2 linked regions of the Struthio camelus genome follow. The protein of the gene in region 1 interacts with the protein of each later gene in a pairwise test. Links are inferred from orthologs where the notes say so. Each region holds a gene or a part of one and is shown in the gene's direction. Other genes may lie near its edges.

The links.
Region 2: the proteins of STX5 (region 1) and STX3 interact in binary tests that used the Homo sapiens proteins (3 or more experiments, as listed by UniProt). The link is inferred for Struthio camelus from reciprocal best matches to the Homo sapiens genes STX5 and STX3.

The regions. Positions count from the first base shown.
Region 1 is NC_090976.1:559,269-569,786, forward strand, and holds STX5 (syntaxin-5), read left to right. Parts: upstream 1-6,585; 5' UTR 6,586-6,681; intron 6,682-7,825; 5' UTR 7,826-7,838; coding exon 7,839-8,033; intron 8,034-8,130; coding exon 8,131-8,201; intron 8,202-8,317; coding exon 8,318-8,373; intron 8,374-8,479; coding exon 8,480-8,550; intron 8,551-8,635; coding exon 8,636-8,752; intron 8,753-8,830; coding exon 8,831-8,887; intron 8,888-8,967; coding exon 8,968-9,049; intron 9,050-9,178; coding exon 9,179-9,279; intron 9,280-9,355; coding exon 9,356-9,477; intron 9,478-9,547; coding exon 9,548-9,707; 3' UTR 9,708-9,708; downstream 9,709-10,518. Other genes in the region: speckle targeted PIP5K1A-regulated poly(A) polymerase-like, read left to right, coding at 1,546-1,689, 2,674-2,775, 2,881-2,981, 3,053-3,108, 3,199-3,341, 3,430-3,486, 6,268-6,387; NXF1 (nuclear RNA export factor 1), read left to right, coding at 10,313-10,343. UniProt on the Homo sapiens protein: Mediates endoplasmic reticulum to Golgi transport.
Region 2 is NC_090946.1:3,778,754-3,789,212, forward strand, and holds the start of STX3 (syntaxin-3), read left to right. Parts: upstream 1-6,338; 5' UTR 6,339-6,483; coding exon 6,484-6,513; intron 6,514-8,704; coding exon 8,705-8,785; intron 8,786-8,860; coding exon 8,861-8,960; intron 8,961-9,061; coding exon 9,062-9,136; intron 9,137-9,252; coding exon 9,253-9,320; intron 9,321-9,435; coding exon 9,436-9,544; intron 9,545-9,737; coding exon 9,738-9,811; intron 9,812-9,924; coding exon 9,925-10,059; intron 10,060-10,459. Other genes in the region: PATL1 (protein PAT1 homolog 1), read right to left, coding at 982-1,165, 1,352-1,441, 1,533-1,744, 1,970-2,059, 2,480-2,581, 2,674-2,868, 3,967-4,041, 4,123-4,334 and 2 more. UniProt on the Homo sapiens protein: Potentially involved in docking of synaptic vesicles at presynaptic active zones. Apical receptor involved in membrane fusion of apical vesicles.

The DNA.
Region 1 (10,518 bases):
CTCAAAGGTGGGAGCGGGGCGGGGGGGGCGCACCGGAGGCTGCCGTGCCTGGGGGGTCCCGGTCCCGGGGGGCTCCTGTCCTGGAGGGTCCCAGTCTTAGGGGGAGCCCCTGTCCTGGGGGGTCCCGGTCTTGGGGGACCCCTGTGCTGGGGAGGCTCCTGTCCCAGGGGGGTCCCGGTCCCGGGGGGCCTTGGGGGGCTTCTGTCCCAGGGGGGTCCCGGTCCTGGGGGACCCCTGTCCTGAGGGGGCTCCTGTCCCAGGGGGGGTCCCGGTCCCGGGGGGGCTCCTGTCCCGGGGGAGTCCCGGTCCTGGGGGGGCTCCTGTCCTGGAGGGTCCTGATCTTGGGGGGCTCCTGTCCTGGAGGGTCCTGGTTTTGGGGGACCCCTGTCATGGGGGGGGCTCCTGTCCCAGGGGGGGTCCCAGTCCCGGGGGGTCCTGGTCCTGGGGGGCTCCTGTCTCGGGAGGGTCTTGGTCCTGGAGGTCTCTTGTCCTGAGGGGGCTCCTGTCCTGGAGGGTCCCAGTCCTCCTGGGGGTCTCCTGTCCCATCAGGTCTCGGTCCTGGGGTGCTTCCTATCCTGGGGGGTCTCGGTCTTTGGGGGGGCTCCTTTCCCGGGGGGAGGTCTCAGTCTTGGTGGACTCCTGTCCCGAGAGGACCCCTGTCCCAGGGGGGCTCTTGTCCTGGCAGGTCTCGGTCTTGGGGGGCTCCTGCCCCGGGGAGGGCTCCTGCCCCAGGGGGGCCCCTGTCCTGGGCGTTCTCAGTCCTGGGGGGGGGGGGCCTAGTCCTGGGGGGTCTCCTGTCCCAAAGGGGCTGTTACAAGGGGCTGAGGGAGGCGAGCGAGGGGGGGGGGCCGATCCTCTCCCGTTGCGCAGGTTGGGGAGGGGGCACAGGATCCCCCAGGGCCCCCCCCAATCCCATCCCGTCCCCCCCCACCCAGGCGTGAACCTGCAGCGCAGAGAGGCCACGAACTACACGAGCGCCGGGACGCTGAGCCGGGCCCAGGGCGTCTCCGCGCTGTGCTGGGGCGACGCCGCCGAGTCCGAGGTGAGGGGCCGGGGACGCCTGGGCCCGACGGCAGTGGCGGGGGCGGGGGGGGGGACACACATTGGGGACACCTGGGCCCTGACACCACCGCTGCCGCCCCCCAGGTGCTGGTGGGCTGCCTGGACCGGAGCGTGAAGCTCTTCAGCACCGAGAAGGGGAAATTCACAGAGACGCGGCTCTGCCCCGGCGGCGACGGCCCCTTCTGCGGCCTGGCGGTTCACGGCAGGTAGGAGCCGCCGCGGGGACGGAGGGGGGGGGACGGGGACGGTGGCTCGTGTGTCCCCTCCGCCGCCACCGCTCCCTTCCCGACGGCGGCTTCTCTCCCGTGCCGGCAGCGCCCTCATCACCTGCGTGGAGTCGGGGCTGCTCAAGGTGTGGGGCGACGGCGGCGGCGGCGACGTGAGTGCGGGGACGGCGGCGGTGAGGGGAAGAGGGGGACGGCGGCGGGGACGGCCGGGGCTGTCCCCGCCGCTCGGTGACGTCCCCGGCGGCCCCGGGCGCAGCTGGAGCTGCGGGCGGGCGCCGGGCTGTGCCGCATGCGCCAGGACCCGGCTCGACCCCAGCGCGTCGCCACCGGCGGCCGGGACAACGGCCTCAAGGTGTGGGACCTGCAGCGCCCGGGCGAGCCCGTCTTCCGCGCCAAGAACGTGAGTGTCACCCCCCGCCGTGTCCCTGAGTGTCCCCCCTGCGTCCCTGAGCGTCCCCGCGAGCGTCGGTGGTGGCCCTGCGCCCGCTGTGGCCCTGCCAGTCTCCCCCTGCCTCCCCATGAGTGTCCCTCCATGTCCCTGAGCGTCCCCGCGAGCGTCGGCGGTGGTCCTGCGCCCGCTGTGGCCCTGCCCCTGTCCCCCCGCATCCACACGAGTGACCCCTGTGTCCCTGAGTGTCCCCACGTCCCCGTGAGCATCGGTGGTGGCCCTGTGCCCGCTGTGGCCCTGCCCGTGTCCCCCTGCATCCCCATGAGTGTCCCCCCGCCTCCGCATGAGTGTCCCCCCCGTGTCCCTGAGCGTCCCCGCGAGCGTCGGCGGTGGCCGTGCGCCCGCTGTGGCCCTGCCCCTGTCCCCCTGCCTCCCCATGAACGTCCCCGAGTGTCCCCCCGTGACCCCGTGAGTTTCCCCATGTCCCTGCACATCCCCACGAGTGTCCCCCATGTCCCTGTGCATCCCGAGTGTCCCCCCATATCCCCATGAGCATCCCCCTGTGTCCCCTGTGTCCCTGCGTGTCCCCTGGAGTGTCCCCTGTGTCCCTGCCCATCCCCACGAGTGTCCCCCCACGTCCCCACGAGTGTCCTCCGCGTCCCTGCGTGTCCTCATGAGCGTCCCCCCCCATTTCCTCCCAAGTGCCCCCTCGGGCGTCCCCATGTCCCCATGAGCCTCGGGGGCGGCCGTGGGCCGATGTCCCTGCAAGTGTCCCCCCACAAACGTCCCCGCGAGTGTCCCGGCGTCCCTGCGAGCGTCGGGGGTGGCCACGCGCCGGCTGCAGCCCCCCGTGTGTCCCCCCGCGAACGTCCCCCCGCGAACGTCCCCCCGCAAACGTCCCCCCCGCGAACGTCCCCCTGCGCATGTCCCCCCGCGAATGTCCCCCCCCAAATGTCCCCCCACAAACGTCCCCCCCCCCCACTCACCGCCCCGCAGGTGAGGAACGACTGGCTCAACCTCCGCGTCCCCGTCTGGGACCGCGACCTCCAGTTCCTGCCCAGCTCCGACAAGATCGTGACGTGCACCGGGCACCACCAGGTCGGGGGGCACGGACCGGTTTTTGGGGGAAGGGGGGCCCTTTTGGGGTGGGGGGCGCTTTTGGGGGCCGGTTTGGGCCGGCGCCGGACCCTGCTGCCTCCCCAGGTGCGCGTCTACGACCCCAGCTCCCCGCAGCGGCGGCCCGTGCTGGAGACGACCTTCGGCGAGTACCCGCTGACCGCCCTCTCCCTCGCGCCGGGGGCCAAGTGAGTCCGGTTCGTGGCGGGGGGGGGGACGCCCGGACGCCTGGGCCCACCCTGACTGCTCTGCCCCGCAGCTCGGTGGTGGTGGGCAGCGCCCGGGGGGACGTGGCCGTGATCGACTTGCGCCAAGGTGAGGGGCGGCGGGGTGGCCCGGCGGTGGGGTGGTGGCCGGTGGCCCCCCCCTCACCCCAGCTGTCCCTGTTCCCCCCTCCCCGCCCAGGGCGGCTGCTGCAGTGCCTGAAGGGGGTCGCGGGCGGCGTGCGGGGTCTCCAGTGCCACCCCAGCCTGCCCCTCGTGGCCTCCTGCGGCCTCGACCGCTTCCTCTGCGTCCACCAGCTGGGCTGCAGGCGGCCGCGGCACAAGGTGGGGCTCCGCGCGCGCCTGTCCCCTCCGTCCCCCCCCCCCCGAAAACCCCGGCCCGGCCCTGAGCCCGTCCCCGTCCCCCCTCCAGGTCTACCTGAAGTCCCGGCTCACCTGCCTGCTGCTGAGCGGCCGCCAGGACTGGGAGGTGAGCGCCCGGCGCGGGGGACGCGGGCGAAACGGGGACGCCGGGGGGGGGGGACACGGGGGGGACGTGTTGAGGGACGTGGGACGCATTGGGGGGACTTGGGACACGGGGGACTTGGGGACACGGTGGGACATGGGGACATGTTGAGGGATGTGGGACGCATTGGGGGGACTTGGGACACGGGGGACTTGGGGACACGGGGGACTTGGGGACACGGTGGGACATGGGGACATGTTGAGGGATGTGGGACGCATTGGGGGGACTTGGGACACGGGGGACTTGGGGACACGGTGGGACATGGGGGGATGTGTTGAGGGACGTGGGACGCATTGGGGGGACATGGGGCATGGGGGGACATGGGGACACGGGGGGACATGGGGACATGGGATGTGTTGAGGGACGTGGGACACATTGGGGGGACATGGGGCATGGGGGACTTGGGACACAGGGGGACATGGGGACATGTTGAGGGACGTGGGACGCATTGGGGGGACATGGGACACAGGGGACTTGGGACACGGGGGGATATGGGGGGGACATGTTGAGGGACGTGGGACGCATTGGGGGGACATGGGGCATGGGGGACTTGGGACACAGGGGGACATGGGGACATGTTGAGGGACGTGGGACGCATTGGGGGGACATGGGACACAGGGGACTTGGGACACGGGGGGATATGGGGGGGACATGTTGAGGGACGTGGGACGCATTGGGGGGACATGGGGCATGGGGGACTTGGGACACAGGGGGACATGGGGACATGTTGAGGGACGTGGGACGCATTGGGGGGACATGGGACACGGGGGACTTGGGACACGGGGGACATGGGGACACGAGATGGGATGCATTGGGGGACATGGTGGGACACAGGACACATCGGGGGAGCAGGGGACATGGGAGAACACATTGGGGGACATGGGACATGGAGATGTGGGGGACACGAGACGCATTGGGACATGGGATATGTTGGGATGGGAGGACATGGGGGACACGGGACACAAGACACATTGGGGACTTGGGACACGGGGGACTTGGGACACATGGGGGACACAGGATGCATTGGGGGACATGTTGAAGGGACATGGGACATGGGGGACGTGTTGAGGGGGACATGGGATGCATTGAGGGGACATGGCACATGGCGGGACATGGCGGGACGCAGGACGTGGGGGGACATGTTGGGGGGACACAGGACACGGGTGACACAGGGGATGTGAGGGGACATTTTGGGGGACATGGGGACATGTTGGGGGGATACGCTGGGGGGACTCAGGACACGGGTGACACGGGGGATGTGAGGGGACATGGGGGACGTGGGGACATGTTGGGGGGACGGGGGGATGCAGGACACAGGGGACACGGGGGATGTGAGGGGACATTTTGGGGGACATGGGGGGACATTGGGGGGATACGCTGGGGGGACTCAGGACACGGGTGACACGGGGGATGTGAGGGGACACGGGGGGACGTGGGGACATGTTGGGGGGACGGGGGGATGCAGGACACAGGGGACACGGGGGGACGTGGGGACATGTCGGGGGGACATTGGGGACGCAGGACACGGGTGACACGGGAGATGTGAGGGGACACGGGGGACGTGGGGACATGGGACGACATTGGGGGGGAGATGGGGACATGTCAGGGGGACATTGGGGGGGCTCAGGACACGGGTGACACGGGGGATGTGAGGTGACACGGGGGGACGTGGGGACATGTTGGGACATTGGGGACTCAGGACACGGGTGACACGGGGGGAGGTGGGGACATGTCAGGGGGACACGACGGGTGACACAGGGGACATGGGGGGACGTGGGGACATGTCAGGGGGACATTGGGGACGCAGGACACGGGTGACACGGGAGATGTGAGGGGACACGGGGGGACATGGGGACATGTCAGGGGGACACGACGGGTGACACAGGGGACACGGGGGGACGTGGGGACATGTTGGGACGGGGGGACGCAGGACACGGGTGACACGGGGGATGTGAGGGGACACAGGGGGACGTGGGGACATGTCGGGGGGACATGGGGGACGCAGGACACGGGTGACACGGGGGATGTGAGGGGACACGGGGGGACATGGGGACATGTCAGGGGGACACGACGGGTGACACAGGGGACACGGGGGGACGTGGGGACATGTTGGGACGGGGGGACGCAGGACACGGGTGACACGGGGGATGTGAGGGGACACGGGGGGACGTGGGGACATGTCGGGGGGACATGGGGGACGCAGGACACGGGTGACACGGGGGATGTGAGGGGACACGGGGGGACATGGGGACATGTCAGGGGGACACGACGGGTGACACAGGGGACACGGGGGGACGTGGGGACATGTTGGGACGGGGGGACGCAGGACACGGGTGACACGGGGGATGTGAGGGGACACGGGGGGACGTGGGGACATGTCGGGGGGACATGGGGGACGCAGGACACGGGTGACACGGGGGATGTGAGGGGACACGGGGGGACATGGGGACATGTCAGGGGGACACGACGGGTGACACAGGGGACACGGGGGGACGTGGGGACATGTTGGGACGGGGGGACGCAGGACACGGGTGACACGGGGGATGTGAGGGGACACGGGGGGACGTGGGGACATGTCGGGGGGACATGGGGGACGCAGGACACGGGTGACACGGGGGATGTGAGGTGACACGGGGGGACGTGGGGACATGTCGGGGGGACACGGGGGACGCAGGACACGGGTGACACGGGGGGAAGTGGGGGGGCGGGTCCCCCTTGCCGCCCGTCACCCGCGGTCCCCGCCAGGCCCCGGCCCCGGCCCCGGCGGCGGCGGCGGAGGAGGAGGAGGAGGAGGCCGAGGCCGAGGCGCTCTGGGCCGCCATGGAGACGGTGCCGCCATCCAAGAAGCGGAAGGCGACGACGTGAGGCGCCGCCGCGGGGCCCCCCCGGCCCGTAACGGCCTCTTTCCCCGGCCCATAAAGGACTCTCGTGTCGCCCCTCGTGTCCCGCGTCCCCGATTTTGCGTGGGGGGGGTGTCCCGGGTGGGGGTGGTATCTCAGGTGGGCCCCACCCGCGCCCGCCGCCATCGCCCCTTTAAGGCGCGGGCGCCTGACGTCGCGCGCGCGGCGCCTGACGTCGCGCGGCGCGAGACGTGGCAGTGACGTCGGGCCGGGCCGGTGGGTGCCGGGCAGCAGCGCCGCGCGCTCGAGCCGCGGCCCGGTGAGCGCGGGGGGGGCGGGGCGGGGCCGCGAGCACTTCCGGGTCGGCCGCGCTCGTTGGGGGGGGGGGGGGGGGGGTCGCCCCGAGCCGTCGGTCCCTCGGACGCCTGGGCCCCTCCCGGGGGTTTGGGGGAGGGGCAGCGTGGTGCCGGACACCTGGGCCCCTCGGACGCCTGGGCCCCTCCTGGGGGTCGTGGGGGGGGGGTGGGGCAGTGGGCTGCAGGACACCTGGGTCCCTCGGACGCCTGGGCCCCTCCTGGGGGTCGTGGGGGGGGCAGTGGGCTGCAGGACACCTGGGTCCCTCGGGCGCCTGGGTCCCTCTAGGGTGTTAGTAGGGGTTGGGGGGGGCAGTGGGGTCCAGGACACCTGGGTCCTCGGGTGGGAGGGGGTGAGGGGGGGAACGGTGGCCTCGGACACCTGGGCCCCTCCCGGGGGTTGGGAGAGAAGCCCCACTCACCTGGGTCCCTCGGACACCTGGGCCCCTGCAGGGGGTTGTGAGGGGAACCCCCGGACGCCTGGGTCCCTCGGACGCCTGGGCCCCTGCAGGGGGTTGTGAGGGGAACCCCCGGACGCCTGGGTCCCTCGGACGCCTGGGCCCCTGCAGGGGGTTGTGAGGGGAACCCCCGGACGCCTGGGTCCCTCGGACGCCTGGGCCCCTGCAGGGGGTTGTGAGGGGAACCCCCGGACGCCTGGGTCCCTTGGACGCCTGGGCCCCTGCAGGGGGTTGTGAGGGGAACCCCCGGACGCCTGGGTCCCTCGGACGCCTGGGCCCCCCCAGGGTGTCAGCAGGGCTGGGAGAGGAGGGGAGCGAGGGCTCCCGGACACCTGGGTCCCCAGCGGACCGTAGGGGTGTGGGGAGGGTGAGGGGGGGTGTCCCCGGACGCCTGGGTCCCTCTCAGGGGAATTGGGGTGGGGGTGGGGGGGCAATGGGGTCCCGGACACCTGGGTCCCCCCCAAGGTGTTAGTGAAGGTTGGAGAAGGAGGAGAAGCAAGGGGCTCCCGGACGCCTGGGTCCCCGGGCCGCAGGAGGCCCCGGACGCCTGGGTCCCCAGCAGGTGTTGACGGAGGGGAGTGGGGGGGGGGGTCGCGGAGGTCCCCCCCCGGCAGCAGCGGGTGCCCCCCAGCTGACGCCCGGCCGGCGGCAGGTGATGAGCCCCGATGAACGCGCGGCGCCGCCACGGCTCTAGGAACACGGAGCAGGGCGTCTACCTGGGCCCCCCCCGGACGCAGGCGCTGCCCCCCGCCTCCGCCGCCGGCCCCCCCGTCACCGCCGCCGCCCCCCCCGCCGCCATGTCCTGCCGCGACCGCACCCAGGAGTTCCTCTCCGCCTGCAAGTCGCTGCAGAGCCGGCAGGTGAGTCCTAAAACGGAGAGGGGGGACGGGGGGGGGACACACGCTGCCCCCCCCACTCACCCCCCCCCCTTCCCCGCATCCGTCCCCCCCCCCCAAGAACGGGCTGCAGCCCAGCAGACCGGCGCTGAGCGCCGCGCGGCAGCGGAGCGAGTTCGCCGTCATGGCCAAGTGAGTGATGGCGGGGTGGGGAGGGGGTCGCGGTGAAGTTGGGGGGGGGCCCCCACGCGTGTGTCCCCCCCACACACACCATCCCCGGCTCTCACGGCGCCCCCGTCCCGCCGCAGGCGCATCGGCAAGGACCTGAGCAACACCTTCGCCAAGCTGGAGAAGCTGACGATCCGTGAGTGCGGCCGGGGGGGCGCAACGCGGGGTGGGGGGGGACACGACGGCGAAGACCCTCACCCCCCCGACCCCCCCCACCTTCTCTACCCCCCTCCGCCTCGCAGTGGCCAAGCGCAAGTCGCTCTTCGATGACAAAGCGGTGGAGATCGAGGAGCTCACCTACATCATCAAGCAGGTGGGGGCCGGGGGACGCGGCGGCGGGGACGGACGGACGGACGGACGCGCTGACGCCCCCCCCCTTCCCCCCCCCCGCCCCGCAGGACATCAACGGCCTCAACAAGCAGATCGCGCAGCTGCAGGACGTGGTGCGGGCCAAGGGCAGCCAGAGCGGGCGCCACGTGCGGACTCACTCCAACACGGTGGTGGTGTCGCTGCAGGTGCGATGGCGGCGGCGGCGGCGGCGATGGCGGCTCCCTCCGCCCCGCCGCTCACCCTGCCGCCCTTCCCCTCCGCAGTCCAAGCTGGCCTCCATGTCCAACGACTTCAAATCCGTGCTGGAAGTGAGGACGGAGGTAAGCGCTCGCCCCCGCGCCGTCGCCTTCCCCCCCGCCGCCGCCGCGCCGGCTCTCACCCCGCCATTGCCTCCCCCCAGAACCTGAAGCAGCAGCGCAGCCGCCGCGAGCACTTCTCCCGCGCCCCCGTCTCCGCTCTGCCCCTCGCCGCCGGCAACCTGGGTGAGCGCTCGCCGTGGCGGGGCCGGGGGGGGGGGACCCCGGAGGGATGGGGTGGTGGTGGGGGGGGACGTTCGGTGCGGGGCGGTCTCGGCCCCCCCGTCTCCGCGCTCAGGCCGCGCTCTGCCGCAGGCGGCTCCGCGGTGCTGCGGGAGGAGGCGCCGCGAGCCGCCGACGTCGCCATCGACATGGACGCGCGGAGCGGCCAGCAGCTGCAGCTCATCCACGAGCAGGTGGGGGGACGGGGGACGGGCGGCAGCGACGCCGGGGGCCGACCGCGCAGCCCCCCGACCCTCTCCCGCCCCGCAGGATTCGTACATCCAGAGCCGGGCCGACACCATGCAGAACATCGAGTCCACCATCGTCGAGCTGGGCTCCATCTTCCAGCAGCTGGCGCACATGGTGAAGGAGCAGGAGGAGACCATCCAGAGGTAGCGGCCCCCGTGTCCCCCCTCACCCCGCGCCGGGCTCCCCGCCCTCAGCGCCCGCCTCTGCCCCCAGGATCGACGCCAGCGTGGAGGACGCGCAGCTCAACGTGGAGGCCGCCCACGGCGAGATCCTCAAGTACTTCCAGTCCGTCACCTCCAACCGTTGGCTGATGGTCAAGATCTTCCTCGTCCTCATCGTCTTCTTCATCGTCTTCGTCGTGTTCCTGGCCTGAACCCCCCCCCCCCCCCCCATCATCCCCGTCTCCGCGGGCGGACTGTCGCGGCTCGGAGACGGAGGCTCGCGGCGGCCCCCGGCGCTCGGACTCGCCCGGGGGGCCGGGCTGGTTGGCCGCAGCCTGGACCGACGGTCTCGGGCGCCGCCGCTGCTGCCACGGCCCGCGCGCCCGGCTCCGGCGTCACCTCCTCGGCGCTCCGCTCCCCGCGGCCGGTGCTGCCCGGTCGTGGTGGCTGCTGCGCCGGTGCCCGCCGGGGCTCCCGGGCCGGGCCCTGATCCCCATTAAAGTTTTCGGTCCTTGGCGGCGCCGGCTCCCTCCTTCCGCGCTGGGACAGGAACCGCCGGCGCCGGGACTCGAACCGGCGACGCCTCCTCGCTCCCTCCTTCCCCGCCGGCGCCGGGACTCGAACCGGCGGCGCCGCGGTCGCGCTCCCTCCCTCCTTCCCCGCAGGGGGCGCCGGAGCGCGGGGGGGAGGAGGCGCATGCGCAGAAGGCGAGTGCGCTGGCGGCGGCGGCGCGAGGCGGAAGTGACGCAGCGGGGGGGGGCGTGGCGTGCGCGGCGGCGGCGGGGCCGCGGTCGGTTGCCGGGGGCGCGCGGCGGCGATGGCGGAGGAGGCCAAGGGGGGGTACAGCGGTGAGCGGGGGGAGGCCCTGGGCCTGGTCGGTAGCCGGAGTGGGGCGGGGAGGGGGTTCGGGGCCCGGTCGGTACCGGGAGCGGGGAGGGGCCCTGGGCCTGGTCGGTACCCGGAGTGCGGCGGGGAGGGGGCTCGGGGCCCGGTCGGTACCGGGAGAGCGGCGGGGAGGGGGTT
Region 2 (10,459 bases), on another chromosome or scaffold:
GTATATAACCAGGTGGTCACAGGTGATGATCGCCCCAGATACTCTCCCATGCACCCTGCAAGCCCAGCTCAAGGTGCTCCCACGCCGCATGTCCATGCTGCGTAGCTAAAAGCCCTCTGTGGATTCCCTCCCGCCAACACAGTTGCCCTGTCTACCCTCAAACCCAGCTAAACCTTGAGCATCCACCACCTTTGGCAAGAGCCCAACCGTCACCTTGCTTTGTCGGCTCCAAATCTGGCTCCTCCTGGCCCCGTCTGGTGCTCCCTATTCTTGAACCGGAAGAGAGAGCGAGCAGTCACTCCCCATCCACTGTCTGCAACTTGCTCTTCGGACTCCATAGGCTTCATCACCATCCCTCCTTTCAGACTAAAGAGCCCTCCCTTACTCAGCCATTCCCTGTCCAGGGCCACCTCGTACATTCAGTCAGTCCCCTTTAGTAGCCTCCCAGTCTCCTCTTGTGGGTGTTTTACTCTTCCGCTGCCATGCCAGGCACAGCTGCTGGTTTAGACAAGTTGATTTCCTGCTCCGCTCTCGGGCCTTCCACTGCACCCTCCAAATTGGTGCTGCTAGCATTCCCCAGCCTCTCCTCACCCCTGGAGATCCTGCTCACCAGCTTCCAGTGCTCACTGCAGACTGCAAGGAGGCAGGTTACCTCTTGCAGTTGCCCCTCACTTCTCTCGTAGGGGAAAGCTCGCCCCATCCCCTTTCGCGTTCACAGCCTATTCCCTGCAATTGGATCTAGAAATGGTTCTTCTGCCATTGTTTGTTCCATGGCTCATTTCAGACTCTCAGCACAACGGCGAGAGTCACTTGCAGCGTCCCCAACGCCCATTACAGTCCCCACGTGGTGGGCACTGAGTGACCCTGGGCATGCACTGGCAAGATGCGGGTGTGGTGGGAGCATTAAAGTGCTGCCCTGCAAGCAATCACAGGTGGGTGAGACGCGCAGTGCAGTGGGCTGAACACTAGTCTCCCCAGTACCTGGTAGTAATAGTCATCCAGGTAGGGATCAGTGCTCTGCAGCTGCATCATCTGGATCTTGGACACCCAGTCCTTCTCCCGCTGCAGCATGAGGTTGGCGTAGGGGTCTTTGCGCATCTGCTCCTGGTGGCTGCTCCGGTGGCCCCCTCGGTCCCCTACTGAGCCGTTGAGGCTCCGGTGCTGGCTGGCAGGAGGCAAGAAGGGCACCCGTGAGCACACAGGAGCTACAGGAAGGGACAGAGAGCAGTGCACAGGCTAGCCCCGGCAGCACAAACCCCCCCAGAAGAGGGTCATGCAAACCCTCCCCAGTGCCAGCCGGTCCCTTCCCCCGGCCATCCCTCCCTGCTCCTTGCGTGGGGCAAACACTCACTTCCGGTTCTGCTGCTGCCGCTGGTGCAGGAGGCGGCGATGCTGGGGGTGAAGGTGGGTCGTGTCTGGCCGGAACATCTGCGGCTGCGGCCTGAGGAGAGCGAGAGGTTGCAGAGGCGGCAGGGACCCCTGGAGAGCCCAGCCTCAGCTAAACACACGGCCAGAAAAGGCACAGGACCTACCTCAGGCTCTGCAGGTGGGATCCAGGGCCCGGTGGGTGCTGTGGCTGGGATGGAGGTGGAGCAGGGGGAGCCCCGAAGAAGGCACGAAACCCGCTGGCCGGAGACATCATCTGCCCAACTCTGCCCTGGAGCAGCTTGGGATTCACAGAGGGAAGGGGACTCCCAACAAGGCTGGAGACCCGGGCAAACTGGCTGGGAGACATTCGGCCAGCCTGGAGGGGCAGAAAGAATACCTCAGAGTCAGCTAGGGAGAAATTCAGGGCCAAGGAAAAGGGTCCAGCCAGGGTGGCCACTTCTGCCTGGGACAGCCACGAAGGACAGCTGTAAAGCCAGCCCTGATGGCCATGCCAAGGGCTGAAGAGAAATGTAGGGCCCCCAAGCCCTGCCCAGGGAATTGCAGGAAGGGACAGCTGAAGGGGTAGGAAGTGGGGCTTTACCTGGGCTCCTCCAAGCAGCTGTGCTCTCTGCAGGTGGGTGAGGACAGGAGAGACACTGTGGGGGAACGGGTGGCCCAAAAGGGAGGAATTCTGGTGAAAGAGAACAGAAAGAGGACTCTGGTCACAGCCCTCCCAGGCAGGACAACCCAGCGGACAGACGTGGAATGGAGGAGGGCACAAGACCAAGCCCCGTGAGAGTGCCCCAGGCAGGCTGGGAGCCAGGCCAGGCTCCAAAGAGCAGAGTTAACTCTGCCCAGGGCACGGCACGTTGGGGCAGACGGGCCAAGCTAGGGAAGACAAGACAAAGCAGTTTGCTGTCTGCACACATGCAGAGTCCAGTGATCTGAGAAAGCAGCTTATCTGCACAACAGGGCCTGGATTTACACGTGGGAGCCGAAAAGGAACAGGGGAACAGGGTGGTCACGATTTCACGGGAGGTTGGAGGACCTCAGAGCGATGTGGGCCTTGAAGGCAGCACCCACGGAAAGGGGTCAAGAGGAGACTTGGTACCGGCACGTTGCAGAGCTGATTGGGGGACATCCTCTCGCCGTAGGGAGCAGGGTAACGCTGCTGCATGGTGGCCCGGATGTGAACAGGCTTTGGACATAGAATCTGAGGGCAGGAAAGCAATACAATTCAGCAGTCAGTCCGCTGCTGAAACCATCTGAGCCACCAGCCTGGAGAGTGGAGCTGAAAGCAAGTACCTGCTGGTTGAAGTTGGGCACAGCAGCCTGCTTGGGAGGGGTGCCAATGGGGATGGCCCGGACTGGGGGACTCCCGATGACCGGGGATGACGAACGCCGGGGCAGCGCCCGCTCTGAGGGGTCCCGCTCTTCCTCTCGGGCCTGTGGGGGTCTCTGAGGCAGAGCATAGTCCAGCACGGACACCGAAGGCATCTCCTGCAAGCAGAAGGGGAGAGAAACCTCCCCCCAGGATAGCAGTCACTTACTGGGACTGGGCAGACGACCACCACACGTCCCAGAGATATTCCTGCCTGGCTAAGCAGTGAGGGAGACAACAGCTAGAGGCCCTCAGCCTCCACGGAGATATGGCACTCGCAGCACAAAGCAATGCTCTGAACTGCCCACCCGCAGAGCCAGTCACTGCCCCATCAGTCCTCCTACGCAGTCTCTTCCACACCCCACTCCATTTCCCTGGGCACTCGGCAGCCCCACATGACGGCCAGGGATCCCTGGGAAATCCCCGGGCCTGTCCAGCAGATCTCACATCACTGCCAGGATGCCTGTCTGCAGTGACAGCGCTGCCTGGGCACAGCGCGTGAATGCTCCATATTGCCGCTGCACAGCCCTCGTGCATGCACATACAGGCTGGGTTTCCACCCTCACTCACCCTGCAGAGCTGGGAGACAGGCTGGATGCGCAGCGCACTCCACTTGCGCTTTAAAGCCTGATTATTAATTAAGCCGCAACAAACAAAACCCTCTGCCTTGAGGCGCCAATATTCCCAGACCTCACAGGAGCACTGACATCTCTCAGACAGAACAGTTACTTGGGATAACATACTGGCAATAAACCACCCTAGCGTGGCTCTCCAGCCGCAGAGGGAATCAGGAGGGCAGGGGAGATTTCTGAGAGGCATCTATAAATGAACTGAAACACCTTGATCTGGACCCAGCAAGAAGCAAGCAAAGTGCACTGCTTTGCTAGGCTGTTCTGGAGGTGCTTCCCAGCACTGACAAACCTTTTGCAGTATAGCAAGTCTCACCCTTTAGGGCCCAGCTGCCTGACACAGGGCTCAGGGAGAAATCACAAGGGATGTTAGGGAAGTCTCTGCTTCCTCTTTCAGGAGAGGCTCCAGCTCAGTGGGATGGACCAGCGACTCAGCACGAGATCTAGGACGGGCAAACCGCAAGTGCCCAAGCGCATCCACACCATTTCTGCTCTGGGTAGGGTGAGCTAGGATAGGGAGAGCATCTCCCCTCCTCCCCCAGAGAGGTCACAGTTGAGCGCTGGCACATCAGCACCGCAGCATCGTACCTGAGTGAGAAGCGGCCCTCGGATACGCCGCAGGACAGCCGAGCCATCCCAGATGCTGGAGTTCAGCCCTCCTGGCTGCTGGAAAGCAGACGTGGGAGTCAGCACCATGGAGGCCGCCAGGCCTGCCCCCAGCCCAGCCCTCCAGCCTGCTCCCACCTGGGCAGGGGCCCTGGTTTGCACTGCCTGCATGATGGCGGGGTCTTCCAGCTCACTGTCGATGACCAGCCTAGTCAGCCTCTCCGCCAGGGTGTCCTCATGGTCGCCCAGCAGGTCTGCGTCATCACCACCCGGTCCATCCTGCTCCCCAGCCGCCGCGGGCTTGTCTTCCAGCTCTGCCAGCCGCTCGTGCGCCTCCTGCCAGTCGTCGTCTGCGTGGGATTCGCAGTGAGGCAGTGAGGAGGGCAAGCCTGCTCCGCATGCCGGCATCGTAGCTCCCCCACCGCAGGCTGAGCCGCGAGCGATGCGCTCACCAGGGCAGAGACAGGATGGGCAAGGATGGAGGGCCCAGCCCTGAGGGTGGGGGGGCAGCAGGGGCTGCGGAGATTTCACACCAGGCACCGCAGTGGTGAGGGAATAAGGGGGAAAGCGAGCACTCACCAACAGCCCCAGCTCCAAACGTGTCATCGTTGAACTGGTCGATATCTTCATCTTCCTCGCCCAGGGCCTGGAAGGCGTCTTCATCTTCATCCAGTGGGCAGTCCTCCAGGGACTGAGGAGAGCAGGGGATGAGCACGCGACTCAGGGCCGCTTGCTGGCTGCTAACACACTTTGCCAGACCTCCTCTTCCCTTATTCATCTCGCATCCCTCATTCCTGCTGTCATCCTTTACCCCTCTTTAGGAGCCCCCTAACCCCGCCTCAGCCCCACCAAAAGACTTCCAGCATCTTCGCCCCCTGCCCTAAGTTTCCTGCTCTGCCTCGGTCCCTCACCTTCCCCCCGAGCGGCTCTAACCCTCTCTGACTAGCAGAGGGGGCGGCCGCCAGGAGACCAGAGCTGGCAGCGCAGAGCAGAACTCATCCTTGTCCACGCCAGACCTCACGCAAGCAGGTGCCACCACACAGCCCCAGAGGAGCGCTCCCTGCCGACCGTCTCCCCCAGCCGGGGCAGGGGATCCCTGCTCTGCCTCCACAGAGAGAGCCCCCTGCCCCCTGCCACAATCCTCCTTGTGCCCCGCGGCCGCACATGCACGGGGTGCGCAGAGACCTGCCCCACGGGAGCCTGCAGCCCGCCCCGGCTGCCATCTCCCCCGGGTCCCCTGTCTGGTGCCCCACAGGCCCCGTCTCCCCTCAAGCCCTCCACAACATGCCCCCACAGGACCCCTCTCCCCCAAAGCCCCCCGCCAGGCGCCCCACAGGCCCCCTCTCCTCCCTGGGCCCCCGCCACGTGCCCCCACAGGATCCCTCTCCCCCAGAGCCCCCCGCCAGGCGCCCCCACGGGCTCCCTCTCCCCCAGAGCCCCCCGCCAGGCGCCCCCACAGGCCCCATGTTCCCTGAGCCCCCCGCCACGTGCCCCGCAGGCCCCGTCTCTCCCCAGCGCCCCCCGCCAGGCGCCCCCACAGGCCCCGTCTCCCCCAGGCGCTCCCACAGGCCCCGTTACCCCCCCGGCCTCTCCCTGCCCCAGCCCCCGCCGCCCCCCCCTCACCTGGTACCGGAACATGGCGGCGGCGGCGGCGCCCCCCGCCCCGCAGGCTCCGCGCGGCCCGCTCCGGCCCCGCGCCCCGCCGCGCATGCGCCGCCGCGGGCGCACGCGCATGACGTCACCCCCGCCCTCCACCGGCCGCCGGGGTGCCGACGGGGGGGGGGGGGGAAGCGCGCCGTGCTCATGCGCAATGGGTAGGGCGCGGAGGATCCGGCAGGGGGCCGAGCGCCAGGCGGGGGGCGGAGCACCCGGGTGCGTGAGCCCCGCCCCCTCCCCGCCTTAAAGTAGCAGAGTCGCGATGGGTTCTTCTTAAAGGGCCAGCGGCCCCTTTTCTCCGCGGGGGCTGCTCTGCGCCTGGGGGTCTCCGCGGAGCCCGAGCTTTCCCCCCTCCCAGAGGGGCCGAGCAGAGCAGCGGGCACACGCCCGTGGGCACCCCCTCGCACGCAGCCGCGCGCGCGCGCGCGTGCACACGCGTGTACATGCGTGCACAGACGGCCACACGCGTGCGCTCCCATCCCCGTGGCGTTGGGACAGGGCTGTGCCCGCCGGCCCTGGGGCAGCGCCGGCTCCTGGGCCCCGGCCTGGTGCCAGCCGCCTCCCCCCCAGCCGTGTCCCCCCCCGCCATGGGCGCCGGGAGGGCGCCCGCCCCGTCGGGGCTCGGCGGTGGCCGCCCCGTCGCCTGTCCTGGCAGCCGTGGCCGCGGGTGGCTCCACCTCGTCCCTCCCCCGGCGCCTCCTGCCTCCCTCCCGTGGCCGGGGATTAGCGGAGGGACCGCCCGGGCGGGGACGGCGCCGGGCCACCCGCGCCTCGCCTGCATGTAGGCGGCCGAGGAGCAGCCCCGCTGCCCCCGGCCCCCCCGGGCCCCCCGGCCCCGGCACCATGAAGGACCGGCTGGAGCAGCTCAAGGCGGTGAGCGGCCCCGCGGCGGCCCCGGGGGACCCACGGGGCCACCGGGGCGTCACGGGGGGGATCGCCGGGACCGGCCCCACGGGGCACCGGGGGGTCACGGGGGGATTGCTGGGACCGGCCCCACGGGGACACCGGGAGGTCATGGGGGGGATCGCCGGGACCGGCCCCAGGGGACACCGGGGGGTCACGGGGGGGATCGCCGGGATCGCCCCCACGGGGTACCGGGGGGTCACGGGGGGATCGCCGGGACCGGCCCCAGGGGACACCGGGGGGTCACGGGGGGGATCGCCGGGATCGCCCCCACGGGGCACCGGGGGGTCACGGGGGGATCGCCGGGATCGGCCCCACGGGGCACCGGGGGGTCACGGGGGGATTGCTGGGACCGGCCCCACGGGGACACCGGGGGGTCATGGGGGGGATCGCCGGGACCGGCCCCAGGGGACACCGGAGGGTCACGGGGGGGATCGCCGGGATCGGCCCCACGGGGTACCGGGGGGTCACGGGGGGATAGCTGGGACCGGCCCCAGGGGACATTGGGGGGTCACGGGGGGGATCGCCGGGATCGGCCCCAGGGGACATCAGGGGGTCGGGGGGGATTGCCAGGATCGGCCCCACGGGGTACCGGGGGGTCACGGGAGGATCGCCGAGACCGGCCCCAGGGGACATCGGGGGGTCATGGGGGGGATCGCCGGGATCGGCCCCAGGGGACACCGGGGGGTCACGGGAGGATCGCCGGGACCAGCCCCACGGGGTACCGGGGGGTCACGGGAGGATCGCCGAGACAGGCCCCACGGGGCACCGGGGTGTCACGGGGGGGATCGCTGGGATCGGCCCCACGGGGTACCGGGGGGTCACGGGAGGATCGCCGAGACCGGCCCCAGGGGACACTGGGGTGTCATGGGGGGGATAGCTGGGACCAGCCCCACGGGCCACCGGGGTGTCATGGGGAGATCCCTGGGACTGGCCCCACGGGGCACTGGGGAGTCCTGGGAATGGTGACCAGCAGCGCATTGCCCCACATCACCCAGGACATGGGGTGCTGCGGCAGGACCCCCCACGCGGGATGTGTGGGGCTGGGGGGTGCCCTGCTGCACCTTGTCCCCTGGGACATGGGGTGCGGTGGTGGGACCCCACCTGGGACGTGTGGGGCTGGGGGTTTCCGGGCTGGGTGCCTTCCCCCCGAGAGGCCGTGCAGCTGTGGGGCACGTGAGGGGCTAGGAGCGGATGTGGGTCAGCCGGGGCCACGCAGCCCCGCGTCTCCGGCGGTTACTTCCTCCTCCTCTGCGCTCTTCCTCAGCGGCCCCACTGCAGGGTGCCGAGCCCGGGGTGCAGCGCGGGGCCGGGGGCAGCCGGGAGCCTTGGCAGGGACTTAGCGGGGATTACAGAGCCGTCAGCCGCGGGGAGAGGGGATAAAACGCTCGGGAGGGAGAGAAGGGATTAATTTTATTTTTATTCCCGTGGGAGGAGCAGGGGTGGGGGATGGAGGGCAGGGCGCAGCCAGGCGGCCCCCGGCTCGGGGCTCCCAGCCGCGCGCGGGGCCGAGGCGCCAGCTCAGGGGCCGGGCCCGGCCGTGAGCCCCCGGCCCGGGGGGCACCGAGCCGAGCCGCGGCGGCCGTGCGAGCCGGCTCCCCTGCGCGAGCCGGAGGCGCAACGCCAGGGTGACAGCCGCTCCTGGCGGTCCCGGGGAGGCTGCCGAGCCGAGCCGCCGCCGGCCATGGGACGGGCAGCTGGGCCGGAGGGTCCGGCGGGGGCCCGAGCGGCGGCCCGGCAGGGCTGTGTGGGCACGCGAGAGGCAGCTGCCGCCCGCCGGTGCCTGTCCCCGTCCCATCCCCATCCAGCGAGCCCTTAATACGCTGCCGCCGGCCAGCTGTGAGATTAGCCCCGCTCCTCCCTGCGCAGATGGCACAGCAGCCTCTGCCCGGCTTAACCCCTGCCCCGCCAGCCCCGGCCCCAAAACCCTGCGGCGCTCCTGGCCGGGGGGTCCCCTCCGGGCCCTGGCTGGCCCTGCGGCGCCCGTCCCCGCCGGGGCCGGAGGGGACAGGGGCTGGCGCGGCGCCCGTAGCCCCCTTCCCGCCTGCCTTGGGTGGCCGCCCCCACGCCGGGGCGCTCGGCCTCCAGAGGGGACCGGCGCCAGCACGGCGCTGAGCCCCGGGTGGGTGCAGGCTGAGCGCCGCCTCGCCGCCTCCCGCAGAAGCAGGACGCCGACGATGACGCCGAGGAGCTGGAGATCGCCATCGACAACACGGCCTTCATGGACGAGTTCTTCTCCGAGGTGAGCGGGGCGGCCAGGCCGGGGGGCCGGCAGGGGGCCGCCGGCTCCGGCCTAACGCCCACCCGGCTTGGCCAGATCGAGGAGACCCGGCAAAACATCGACAAGATCGCGGAGAACGTGGAGGAGGCCAAGAAGCTCTACAGCATCATCCTCTCAGCCCCCATCCCCGAGCAGAGTAAGGTGCCCCGTCCCGGGGCTGTGGGTCCCCTTGGCGGGGACGGGCGCGGGGGTCCCCTTCGCGGGCCGCCCCGGCTCAGCTGCCCGTGCCCCCCGCAGAGACCAAAGACGACCTGGAGCAGCTCACGGCCGAGATCAAGAAAATGGCCAACAGCGTCCGGAACAAGCTGAAGAGTGAGTGGCGACGTGCCTGCCGCCGTGCCGCGGGGCCGAGCAGGGTGGCCGGGGGTCCCGCGGGTGCCGGGGTGGCGCAGGGCGCCCTGACAGGCTGGGGTCTCCGCTCTGGCCAGGCATGGAGAGGAACATCGAGCAGGACGAGGCGCGCTCGTCGGCCGACCTCCGCATACGCAAGTCCCAGGTGAGGCTCCGGGATGCGGCCCCAGGACCCCGCTGCCCGGGCGGGGGGTGGGGGGCAGCCCCCCCCACCGCGTCCGGGGCGTCCCCGCCGCTCACGCCCCCGTCCCCTTCCCCAGCACTCGGTCCTGTCCCGGAAGTTCGTCGACGTCATGACCAAGTACAACGAGGCGCAGGTCGACTTCCGGGAGCGCAGCAAGGGCCGGATCCAGCGCCAGCTGGAGATCAGTGCGTCCCCCCACCCAGCCCCCTGCCCGCTGGACCCCTGCAGGCCCCGCCCCTTTCATGGAGTGGGCAGGGCTTCACCAGATGGGTGGAGCCAGAGCCATTCAGGCCCCTCCCCTGTTGGCTGAGGCGGGGCTTCTCCAGTAGGCCCCTCCCCCCGGGGGGCCCCCCCGCCATGACCCTCGGTGCCCCACAGCCGGCAAGAACACGACGGATGAGGAGCTGGAGGAGATGCTGGAGAGCGGGAACCCCTCCATCTTCACCTCGGGGGTGAGGGCGCAGGGGGTGCCGCGGGGGGGGGGGGGGAGAGGGCGCAGTGTCCCGCCGGCAGCAGGGACCCCCCCGCTGATGTCCCCCCCGCCCCGGCCCCGGCTCTGTCGCAGATCATGGACTCGCAGATCTCGAAGCAGGCACTGAGCGAGATCGAGGGGCGGCACAAGGACATCGTGCGGCTGGAGAGCAGCATCAAGGAGCTGCACGATATGTTCGTCGACATCGCCATGCTGGTGGAGAACCAGGTGTGGGCCGTGGTGCGGGGCCCCGCACGCGGGCTGCCTGGGGACCTGTGCATGGGGCCACCTGGAGACCTCTGCATGGGGACCTGTGCATGAGGCCGTATGGGGACCTGTGCATGGGGACCTGTGCACAAGGCCACCCGGGGACCTGTGCATGAGGCTGTATAGGGACCTGCGCATGGGGACCTGTGCCTGGAGCTGCCTGGGACCTGTGCATGGGGCCATCTGGAAACATGTGCATGGGGACCTGTGCATGAGGCCATATGGGGACCTGTGCCAGGGGCCACCCGGGAACATGCACATGGGGACCTGTGCATGGGGCCATATGGAGACCTGTGCCTGGAGCTGCATGGGGACCTGTGCATGGGGCCACCTGGAAACATGTGCATGGGGACCTGTGCAT